Coturnix japonica: one gene and its partners. The protein of the gene in region 1 interacts with the protein of each later gene in a pairwise test. Links are inferred from orthologs where the notes say so. Each region holds a gene or a part of one and is shown on either strand. Other genes may lie near its edges. The genes, in order: PIAS4, SMAD1 and SMAD7.

Region 1 (3,236 bases):
GGCTGGGCTGTGGGGAAGGGGAGCAGCCCTGAGGTCGGGGGCTGCAGGAAGAAGCTTTCCTGCCTGGCCTGCAGCCTGTGTGCTGCTGAGCGCTGAGCCATGCAGGTTGTGCATTGCTGCTGCAGTGCTGTGCTGTTCTCTCTGCCCCTGAGGGCTCCTCACCCTGCACTGTGAGACGCCTCCATGTTGAAGTTAATTTTATCACCCTTTGCTCTTCCTGCAGTAAAAGAGAAGCTACGTTTGGACCCAGACAGTGAAATCGCTACAACAGGCGTTCGGGTGTCTCTCATCTGCCCGGTGAGTCTCTGCAATACCTCCTAAGTGTGGTTACATCCAGAAAACCCATCCTGCCAGCTCAGCTTTGCCTTGTGCAGCAGCGCTGCTGTGCTGGAGGGGACACAGCGCTGGCTGTGAGCTCGGCCCTGCTGCTCACCACTGCCCTCCTCCCGCAGCTGGTGAAGATGCGGCTGTCCGTGCCGTGCCGGGCTGAGACCTGCGCCCACCTGCAGTGCTTCGATGCAGTCTTCTACCTTCAGATGAATGAGAAGAAGCCCACGTGGATGTGTCCCGTGTGTGACAAGCCCGCGCCCTACGACCAGCTGATAATTGATGGGTGAGTGTGGGTGCTGCTGTCCTCAGCCCTGGGGTTTTGCTGCTGGGTGAAGCATTCTTTAGTCTGCCCTTCTGGAGCCTGCATGGGAGCAAAGCTGGAAGCGTGTTGTGCTCCTGCATAATGCCCTGACTGCTTGTGGTGGTGTGCTGGAGCAAGGTTTGTCGGTCTGCCCTTCTTGATTTTAGGATTCCCTTAAAGCCTTACGAGCATCGAGCGTTTACTGCCTCACTCTGATGAACCCGCACAATTGGCTGCCCTGGTTGCCAGATGTCACGCTGCGTGGAATAAACCCACTTTATAAGCACACGATAAGGTGATTTTTGATAGGAACCATCTTCCTCTTCTCTTGCTGTGAGCAGGCAGCGCTCGCCACGCTGGGAGCTCGGCTGGGGGGATCTCTGCCAGCTTCTCAAGCAAACATCCCACACCGTGCAGTCCCTGAGGCAGAAGTGCAGGTGCAGCGTTTGCATCAGGAACGTAATCTGTCTTATGTGGGGAATTGGGGCAGCAGATTGCAGGGCACGTTTGGATAAGAGCGAGGCAAGAAACGCGCGTGCTGTGAATGATGGCAGGGGCAGCTCCAGCCCTGCCCTTCCTCCCTTGTCTTGGTCTATGTGGGAGCACTGCTCCCTCTGTCTCTGCACCGGAGCTGTTTGCTTTCTACCATAGAGAGCTTTGGTTCTCCCCAGGTGAGGCCGGCTGGGTGCTCCTGTGGGCAGAGCAGCACCTGGAGGTGCTGGGTGCTGCAGCCAGGCTGCTGTGTGCGCCCAGCTCTGCAGCAGTTCTCCCCCTCCTGGTGGTGGAGCTGCCTGCAGAGCTGCATGGAGGCCTGGCTCCCATCTGGGAGTGAAGGAAGGCAGCAGAGCCCTCTGCTGATCTATGGGCTGGGATCACACAGCTGTGTAATCGACCTTTAGTGCGGCATCACCGCAGTGCTGGGGTGGTGCATGGAGCTGAGCGGTGGGTTGGCACAGGGCTGTGCTGACAGTGCTCTGAGTGCTGCCATGTGTCAGTGCTGCTCTCACCCCGTGCTGGGGCTCCGTGGTGGTGATTGCAGCCAGGGCGGCTGTGCTGAGCAGTGGGGCTGCCCGCAGGGCTGTGTGTGCTGGCACTGGGGGCTGCGTGGGGCCGCAGTGTGCTGCTGTGGGGTGGGCAGCTGCTGCAGTGGCTGTGGGTGTGCAGTGGGGAGCAGAGTGCTGTATGTGGGATCACTGGGCCCTGCTGGGACAGGCAGTGATGGGGGTGGGTGGTTCCTTGGGCACAGCCTGGGCAGTTGCCAGCCCACACGTGGCCTTGGTGGGGTCTGGGGCGTCTGCCTGGGAGGCTCTGCAGAGCTGAGGTGCTTCTAATTCTAATAGCTGCTGGTCCATGGCTCTCAGTGCAGTGCAGAGCGTTGGCTCCCTGCTGGCCAACACAGACCAATGGGGCCCTTCCTCCCACCCAGGCTGCTGTCAAAGATCTTGACTGAGTGTGAGGACGCGGATGAGATCGAGTACCTGGTGGACGGCTCGTGGTGCCCCATCCGAGCGGAGAAGGAGCGCAGCTGCAGCCCGCAGTGCCCCATCCTGGTGCTGGGTGAGTAACCCTGCACCGCACATCTGATGCCCTGAGCCTCATGTTAATTAGAAGAGGCTTTAATTAGTCTTCTCTTTCCCCGACCACTTTCAGGTTCTTCGGATGTGAACGGGCTGTTGCCCACACCTAACGGCAACGGTGAGAACGGCAAAGCTGCTGCTGATGTGGTGGATTTAACACTGGACAGCTCATCGTCGGAGGAGGAGGAGGAGGAGGATGAGGAGGAAGATGACGACGATGAGGGACCCCAACCAAAACGGCGCTGCTCCTACGAGAAGGGTTTGGTTTCTGCCTGCTGACTGCGGAGGCAGCTCTGGATCTCAGAACGGACAGACTTGAATACTCTGGTGCTGAAACTGGAGGGGGGTTGGAGAGCAGCGTCGTCGTCTCCCACCTCATCTCCCATCGACCCCCATCTCTGACTTTCCTATTCCGAATTAACCATTAAAACAAGAGAAAAAAAACAGACAAAAAGCCCACAACCACTGAGCTGCTTCTTGGTTGGAAAACCAGCCCAACTCCAGGCCTGACCCTGAACCAGACTCTGAAGCAAGGAAAGTGTCTTAACCCACGGCTGGGGCTGCAGCTCCGGCTCTGCTGCCCCCCAGCGCAGCCCCACGTGTCTCCAAAGCTGTGCATCTTGATGGTCTCCTTCATTAACCATTCCTGAGTATATCGAGTTCTGCCGGACCCGTGGGGAGGGAGAGAGGGGGTGGGGGGAGGGAGAGCAGAGGGGTGGGTGGGAGGGGAGGGGGATGTTTGTATCACTTGGTATAGAGGGGGGTTTGTAGGGGTGGGGGGGTGAATGGGGAGAGCCGTATGGATGGGAGCGCACTGTTGTAGGGGGGAGCTGGGGCAGCTCTGCACCTCGTGTCCTGGGACACGTCCCGTATCCTTCATCCCCACCCCGAGGTAACGTAGGCGTCGTGCGTAGTGACCCCGTTTAGTTGAGCAGAAGCCATTGGGGGGGAGGGCGGGTGGGGGGTATTGGGGGCTGTGGGGGAGGTGGGGGGGGATGGCTGGCACCACGAACCTGTTGTCTTTTTGA
Region 2 (4,302 bases), on another chromosome or scaffold:
GTGCAGAACAGTGTAGGCTGCAGAAAGAGGCAGGGCAGAAAAATATGAGGCTTGCTGGGTTAGGTCAGCAGGAGGTAGAGAGAGGGCTGGCAGAGAAGCAGCAAAGGCATGTGTCTGCCCTCCAGAAGGAGCTGCACAAATATCAGCTGGGGAGGAGCTGCTCTTGCTGTGCTTTATAGGATCAAAGAGCAAGTGGAGTGTTTCTGTGTCTATTTGTATAAGGTATAATGCAATGCAATTCTGGTCCTGATTACTAATAAAAGATAGCATAGACACAATTAAAAAGCACCTCATACGGACCCAAGTAGAAAAGATGAGACAAGGCTTGGCAAACCACTGGCTGACCTAGTCTGTCACTCCTTATTTTGTTCCTATTTATTCATCATAGGGCTAATTAGTAGTATATTACAGGACTGAGGTCATTAAGACTCAGGCTTCTTTGCATCTTCTCCAGCTAATTTTTAAACTAACTGGAGTGTTTTGGTAGACAATGCTGCTGTTTTCCATCCCCCAGCCCCCTCACCTTTTGTTTTGGCATTTACACGTGGTCACTGCCTTTAGTAGGGCTTCCTTTCAGCATATTGCAGTGGCTGGAGACTTCCCAGAGTAGCTGTGTTTCTTTCCTGTTTCTTGTACTGCTGTCCTGAAACAGGTGGGAGCAGCATGCAGACTCTGCCCCATGCACCTTACATCAAAAGGACCTCACTTGGTATGTGCAGACTGGGAACTGAGCTGCACTGCAGAGAACTTCAAGGATGACAGCGCTGGAAAATCAAATCAGCTTTAGAGAGAGAAACACACAGCTGGGTCTGCACTGATAACAAGCATTTTCAATCACTAAATCATGAAAACTGCACCATGCAGGGATAATTGTCTCTTGTAAATGGCACTGTAGTAACTAGGAGGCCAGTGATCTGTATTTAATGTGATTATATACCACGAATCAACGATAAGGCAGGCATTGCTTCTCTGATTCACTTTTGTCGAAATTGAAAGAACGGAAAGTAAAACAAAAATCAGAGCAAAGCAAGTATAAAAAATGTGAATGCTTTTCAGCCTAAAAGTTCCAGAAATTAATTATTCTATAGCCTGATACAGTCAAACACTACGTATCTATGAAGAACAAAAGGTTTGTAAATTCACTTTGGCCTTAGCCATCCATCTGTGGGCAGTGTTATGCGGTGCGGGAGGTAGGAGACCTGACTGCTTGCAATCCTCTGGGCATTTTCCTCTCGAGCCATTGGTGCTATGTGGTGCCCTGGCTAAACTTTAGGTTGGTTAATTACCTTCTGACTAGTTAGTTCTTCAGGAAGCATCATTGTCACTGTCTTTAATGAGTCTGAGATAAAACTTTGTATGCTTTGTTAGAGCACAACAATTCTATGTAAAATTCTATATGTATATTGTGTTTTGCAGGCAAAGATAGTGACTGGAACCAAAGAGACTCAAACCAGAATAAGGATGAACACACACTAGATCAGAATCTGGGGAAATGAGGTGAGGTTAACAGTTGAGTAATTAGTGGTGTGAATGAGCAGAAATGTGAGTGTAAAGGGAAGAGAATGGAACTGTAAAAGAATATGTTGTGTTATCTGCTCCGTTATTGCATATGTCTTTCTAGAAAATTCTCATGATGTTTGGAGTCTGAAACCAACTTACATTTCTGGCTTTTTGTGTCCCAGTATTGACAAACTTTAAAGTAGGATTTTGAAAAAATAAGGCTGGCAGGTTATACCGGGATCAAAGAAACTGAACAATCTTCCTTTCTCTATTACATTGCCTCTGAAAATGCCATGCCCTCAAGCAAAACCAAGGATGATTTTTTTAATTAATCACAAGGCATGACTGTAATTTTATTTCTCATCTGAGAAATGAGAAATCTGCTCCCAGCAGCACAATGACTCTCAACTACGACCAACCAGGACTAGATTGGGGTATCTCAGACATCTGGGAAATTAACTGAGAATTGAAACAGTGCATTAGCAGTTGTCATCTAAATCCTATGTCAGAATCCTAAACTGTTTCTTAATCTATCCATGTTTTCCCTGGAGTGTATCTTATCTGTGCACTGACACACTGACCAAGTTTGACATATTCTGTTCAGGATTTGATGAGATCACAGTGCAAGACTGTCTAACTGCAGGCCATAAATTGTTGCACTCTTCCATCTGGTTGCTCTCTGACAGGCATATGCTTTGCTTAATCGGGGTGATATACTCTCTGTCAGTGCCATCTTCTAGGTGCTGAAAGCCTTAGGAGCATGAACAACTGAACTGTAGGGGTTTCACATGCCGTGTGACAGTACTTTGCAGAAGCTGGACCAGCTGTGCATTGGCTGAGGCTAATTTCTGATTACAGGTTTCCAGTTAGAATAAGGCAGCATTGCTATATCTTGCTATTTGCGGTTACTGAGGGACTTCCTTGTGATGATGATGTCCATATTGAACATTTGATCCTTGTCTGTAAAAGTGATACGTTTCTGCACTCAGATCAAATGCTTCATACTGAAATCTAATTGTCTGAAGAGGCACATGGGTACCTTAGTCTCATTGACTGTGGAACTTAGAATACCACTTTCCGAAGTATTGGTGAGCCATGAGGTCTCTTCCTCTGACATCAGCAGAATCTCTGGATATGCATGGCATAGTTCAGTCCTTAGAACTATGAGGGCTGTCGGCCCATGACATTAAAGGCAGTAGAGGTTGAACCTCCCTGCCAATATCCCTTTACATGTTGCTGCCCTGTGACAGATGGCAGCAGAGGGGCAGTCTGACAAAATGATGTCTGAGGTAGAAGTGCACGTAAAGCAAGGATTTGTCACTGAATTCTTCCATGCGGAAAAACTGGCACCCACCGACATTCATTGACACTTGCTGAATGTGTATGAACAAAGAGTGTCAGTACAGTGAGGCAGTGGGCAGTGTGTATCAGCAGTAGTGATAGCGACGTGAAAGACAAGCCATGATCCAGGCAGCCATGCATGTTTTCACCAGCATGGTATGCAGTCTGTTGTTCATTGCTGACAAAAATGCATAGCTAATTGTGGTGGCTCTGTTGAAACGCAGTGTTTTGTAGCTGCAAATTTGCTCTATCAGGTAGCATTATTATGTTTTGTACCTGTTGTAGTTTCCAAGGAATAAATAGGAGGCATTACTTTCGGAGCAAACTACGCATAGTATTAGTGGGCTAAGATAATTGTTTGTCATTCAGGTTGCCTACACTGAAACTGTATTGATTTGATGTATTCAGAACTTCATCAAATATTAATTATCCTAGGTGTGTGCTTCAGGCAGAATGTGTAGAAAATGTCAGAGAAAATGTTTCAGCCTTTCTGAGAACAGGACAAAGAAATGAACAGATTGTTTTGCCAGGGCTGAAAATGTTAGAGAACTTTTGGGAAAATATATCAATTTGGCAGGAAAAGGAGAGATGATTTTTCTTTGACAGGAGATGAGCAATGAGGTGTAAAACAGCTTTATCTTAGCCTCAGTTTTGCAACTAGGTATTGCCAAAGCCCTTTCTGTAATGGTTCGCTACAGCATAATCTGGTGGGGAAAACAAAATCACTGTGTGTTATTTCTGACCACTGTTTGTTCTGTTCTTTGAATGTGACAGATCTTTTGGAAAGAACATGTATAAGCAATAGAGGATGGGCGTCAGGACCCGCCGCGACTGAGTACTTAAGATGATAACAACCACATTGATCCTGATAGGTCCTTGCTTTCAGCGGCCTAGTTTTGCAGTTTTTGGCTTATAGTGAGGACTTATAGATTTGTGCAATAATATATGAAATGTAGAGGGGGTTGCTTTTAAATCTACTCAACTTGTTTGTAAAAAATTTGGCTATTTTTGATCTATGAAGGAAAGACGGAGCTTAAAATTGGTCCTAATGCCTTTGTCTTGTGGGCAACATTTTCCAACACTTTGCATGACTGCCAGGATGTCTGAAGCCTATGATGTCATTTCCTCCTGAAAGTGCAAACAGAAACCAATACATATACATTTATTCTCAGGACTTGTCAGTTATGGAGAAGTCACTAAGAACTCATTACCTTGGGATGACTAATTAATTACTAATTTACTTACTCTCCATAACAGAGTAAATAAGCTCATTCAGTTCCTTGGTCCTATCATTCTTTGTCTTCTTTATTCACCAAAGAGCCCAGCTTACAGTAGCTCTTCTGAACTCACATGTGCTGTTGTACTTGAAATGAAAGAGTTTTTCCTCGCTTCAAAAGAAGTTCACTATATCTGTTACAGTTTCATAAGCACTTCAGCTGGCTGAAGCCATTCACCCTTTCT
Region 3 (4,147 bases), on another chromosome or scaffold:
CATGTAACATACAGCATGTAACATGTAATATGCAGCATGTGACATACAGCAGGTAACATAACATCAGGGAGCACATAACATTTAACACATAGCAAGTAACATCTTACAGCACTGTCATATGTAATTTTAAATATGTAACATGTAACATTAACATAACATACAGCGTGTAACATGTAACGCCATACAGCATGGTGACATGTAACAGCATGTAGCATGTGATACCATCTAGCACTGCAACATGTAACATGCCATATGCCATGTAGTATTATATAGCACTGCAACATGTAACATGCCATATACCATGTAGTATCATATAGCACTGTAACATGTAACATGCCCTATAGCATGTAACACCTGGCACATAACACACTAGGTAGCACACAGCATGACACACAGCATGTAGCATGTACCAGCGCTGCATGCAACACCCAGCAGGCAGCACGCTGCATGCATGCAGCACCGCACACACAGCACACAGCGCATGGCAGCCCTGCAGTAACACGCCCCTATGCAGGAGCTGCCCCACACTTATGGGGGGGGTCCCCATCCCTTAGGGCTCATTGCCGGGGGTCACCCCTGGGGACCCCCCTCTCCCTGCAGGCAGCAGGACCATCCCATTCCCCCCCCCCCGCCGGGCACCCCGCGTTGCGCAAAGCGCCGTCGGATCAGTGCGGGCGGATGGAGATAAATATATAATTCCTTTTTTTTCCCCTCCCGGAGCGACGCGCTGTCTAGACGCCCACGTGATGGGGCTGCGCGCAAACGGAGCGGGCGGGGGGGAAAGGGGGGTGGGGGGGAAGGGAGGCAATAGGGAAAAAAAAGAAGAAGAAAAGGGGGGCGCGGCCACAACGCGCACGCACCGTCGCTTCTCCCCCCTCCTCCCTACACACACATACACACCTCCCCCCGCGCAAAAATAATTAGGGGAAAAAAAAAAAGGCAAAAGGGAACGACGGAGCCGCGGCGGTGCGGGTGTGTGAGCGGGGAGAGCAGGGGAAAATAGGGGCAAAAAGAGGAGGAGGAGGGAGAAGAATCACCGAGAAAAGCCCGAGAGGCTGCGGGGAGGGTGGGGGCGGGGAGCCGCGGCCGCGCTTACATTCCGCGCTTCATTCGCCCCGTTTCTCTCCTTGGCAGAGCGGAGCGGAGCGGGGACGCGCGATGCTGCTCGCTCCGCGGACGAACGCGCCGAGGCCGCTCCGCACGTAGGGCCGCCGGGCTCCTTTTTTAGACTTATTTTACATTTTTATTTTTTTAAAGTTTTTTTTTTTAATTATTATTATTTTTTTATTTTTTAACCTCTTTCCCCCCCCCCCTCCCTTCTTCTCCCACCCCCCCCCCCCCCCGCCCCGTCCCTTTGCCTCGCCCTTCTCCATTTTTTCCGCCCCTCTCCCCCTCTCGTCGCGGTGCGTTGATGGGAGCTGCGGCCCCCGGCAGCCCCACGGCTCCCCCCGGCTCTGTGCTCTCTCCGCACCCGCGCTGGGCCGCCCCCCCCCGCGCGATGCGCCGCGGAGCCGCGCTCTGAAACCGCGCCGATTTCTCCCATTTTCCCTTTTAATCCTTTTTCTCTCCTTTTCCTAAAGGAGAGCGGCACCCCCGGGTTTTTCTCTTCCCCCCCCCCGACTTTTTTTGCTTTTCACCTCTCGCAGCGTGGGCAACCCTTGAGTGCTGCTCACTCCTCTCTCCCCAGCCAAGCAAAGCGGAGTGAAACTGCTCCTTTTTCTACCATTTTCTTTTTTGTTTTCCTTTTTTTTTTTTTTCCCCTCTCCTTTTTCTCTCCTTCACTTACTAAAGGGGAACGGCACCCCCGAACTCTCCCTTTGCTTACCCGCTTTTTGCTCCCCTTCACCTCGCGGCGCGGTCACCCCTCGCGCTGCCCACCTCCAAGCAAAGCGCCGTGAAACTGCGCTGATTTGTCACTTTTTTGCGTTTTTTCCCACTTTTATCTTTTCGTATTTTTAAAGCCGAGCACCGCCTTCCCTCCGAGCTCTTTCTCCCCCGCTTTTTTTCCCTTTTACCTCGCGCAGCACGAGTGCCCCTCACGCTGCGCACCCCCCCGGCCATCAAAGCGCGGAGCCTGGCGCATGCACCACCCCGGCCGGGCCCCCCCCCCGCTCGCCGCTGCCCCCCGCCTCGCCCCGGCTGCCGGCCCCTTCATGCTCGGCGCACGCCATGCCCGTGCCGTAGCCGGGGGCCCCTCCTCACGTCCCGCATGTTCAGGACCAAACGCTCGCTCCTCGTCCGACGGCTCTGGCGGAGCCGCGCACCCGGCGGCGGAGAGGAGGAGACGGGAGACGGCGCAGCGCCGGCCGAACCTCGGCCGCACTCATGCGGCGGGGGGAACCGGGGGTGCTGCCCGGCCAAACCCCCCCGCGGGGGCGGCCGGGGGGCGGCGGAGGGCGAGCTGAAGGCGCTGACCCACGCCGTGCTGAAGCGCTGCAAGGAGCGGCAGCTGGAGGGGCTGCTGCGCGCCGTCGAGTCCCGCGGGGCGGCCCGCACCCCCTGCGTGCTGCTGCCGGCTCGAGGGGAGGCGCGGCTGGGAGCGCAGCGGGACGCGCTGCCCGCGCTGCTGTGCCGGGTGTTCCGCTGGCCCGAGCTGCGGCACGGGGCGCCCCTCAAGCGGCTCCGAGGCTGCTGCCAGGCCGACGGCGCGGCGCCCACCGAGCTCGTGTGCTGCAACCCGCACCACCTCAGCCGCCTCTGCGAGCTCGGTAAGGGGCGATGGGCGGGGGGATGTGGGGACGGGGTGAGGATGGGGGCGGCTCTGATGTGGGGGTGGAAGGTGGTCGTGGTGTTGGGTGGGGGTGGCGGTGAATTGGGCCGGGGGCTGGGGGTGATTCTGTCCGAGGGATGGGTGTCGTGGCTTTGTGATTCTGGGTATCCCACATCCCAACTCGTGTAGTGTGCACTGGGAGTTGACAGATGGGGTATGTCCTAGGGGTGGAGTTGGTAGGGATGTGGGGATGGAGGTGGTGGTGGGGATGGAGTGTGTCCTGGGGTTTGAATTAAATTGGGATGGGGCTGGAGATGATGACATGGGGCTGGGAATGGAGTGTGTCCTATGGATGGGGTTTAATGGGGTGAAAATAGAGGTAGTGAAATGGGGATGGTGATAGTGATATGGGGCTGGGGCTGGAGTATGTCCTAGAGATGGCATTAAATTGGGATGAGGCTGAAGTGTGTCCTAAGGATGGGATATGTCCTAGGGTTGGGGTTTATTGAGGTGGGAATGGAGGTAGTAATGGGGATGGAGTATGTCCTAAGGATGGTATTGAGATTGGGCTGGAGAATAGTGATATTAGTGATATGGGGCTGGGGCTGGAGTATGTAATAGGGACAGCACATAATGGGGTGGGAATGGAGGTAGTGAAATGGGGATGGGACTGGAGGTAGTGGTGGAGTTGGAGTATGTCCTAGGGATGGGGTATAATGGGGTGGGAACAGAGGTAGTGAAATGTGGATGGAGATGGAGGTAATGATGGGGATTGGACTGGAGAGGTGGGCATGGAGTATGTCCTTGGGATGGGGATGGGGTATAGTGGGATGGAGATGGAGGTAATAAGGGTGGGACTGGAGGTCCTGGTGGGGATGGCATGTGTCCTGGGGTTGGGGATGGAAGCAGTGGTATAGGGCTGGAAGTGGGATATGTCTTAGGGCTTGGGTATGTGTTAGGGATAAGGATGATGGAGGTAGTGATACAGGGCTGGAGCTGGATATGTCCTAGGGGTTGAGTATGTCCTAGGGATAGGAATATAATGGGAATGATGGGGCTGGGGTATGATGGGGTCCTGGGACTGGGGCTGGGGTATGGCCTGGGGATGAAGATGGTACTGGTATGGGGATGGGGTCAGGAATGAGCTATGGCCTGGAGCTGGGCTGTGGCCTGGGGACAGGGATGGAGGTAGTGATATGGGGATGGGGGTGGGTTATGGCCTGGGGCTGGAGTGTGGGGTTGGAGGTAGGGATATGGGGATGGGGCTGAGGTATGGTCTGGGAATGGGAATGGAGGTAGTGATGTGGGGCTGGGGTCAGGGATAGGGATGGGGTTGCAGATGGAGGTGGAGATGGGTTATAGGAATAGGGTAGGGAATCAGGTTGGGGTCATGAATGGGGATGGGGTTGCAGATGGGATGGTATGGAAGTGGGGACG

The links.
Region 2: the proteins of PIAS4 (region 1) and SMAD1 interact in a two-hybrid assay, tested with the Homo sapiens proteins (2 studies listed by BioGRID and IntAct). The link is inferred for Coturnix japonica from reciprocal best matches to the Homo sapiens genes PIAS4 and SMAD1.
Region 3: the proteins of PIAS4 (region 1) and SMAD7 interact in a two-hybrid assay, tested with the Homo sapiens proteins (2 studies listed by BioGRID and IntAct). The link is inferred for Coturnix japonica from reciprocal best matches to the Homo sapiens genes PIAS4 and SMAD7.

Annotation. Positions count from the first base shown.
Region 1 is NC_029543.1:783,077-786,312, reverse strand, and holds the end of PIAS4 (E3 SUMO-protein ligase PIAS4), read left to right. Parts: intron 1-223; coding exon 224-297; intron 298-452; coding exon 453-613; intron 614-798; exon of another isoform or gene 799-926; intron 927-972; coding exon of another isoform or gene 973-1,282; exon of another isoform or gene 1,283-1,342; intron 1,343-2,057; coding exon 2,058-2,188; intron 2,189-2,281; coding exon 2,282-2,487; 3' UTR 2,488-2,670; downstream 2,671-3,236.
Region 2 is NC_029519.1:27,332,630-27,336,931, forward strand, and holds the start of SMAD1 (mothers against decapentaplegic homolog 1), read left to right. Parts: upstream 1-1,421; 5' UTR 1,422-1,497; intron 1,498-4,302. UniProt on the Homo sapiens protein: Transcriptional modulator that plays a role in various cellular processes, including embryonic development, cell differentiation, and tissue homeostasis.
Region 3 is NC_029547.1:1,083,028-1,087,174, forward strand, and holds the start of SMAD7 (mothers against decapentaplegic homolog 7), read left to right. Parts: upstream 1-1,346; 5' UTR 1,347-2,209; coding exon 2,210-2,708; intron 2,709-4,147. UniProt on the Homo sapiens protein: Antagonist of signaling by TGF-beta (transforming growth factor) type 1 receptor superfamily members; has been shown to inhibit TGF-beta (Transforming growth factor) and activin signaling by associating with their receptors thus preventing SMAD2 access.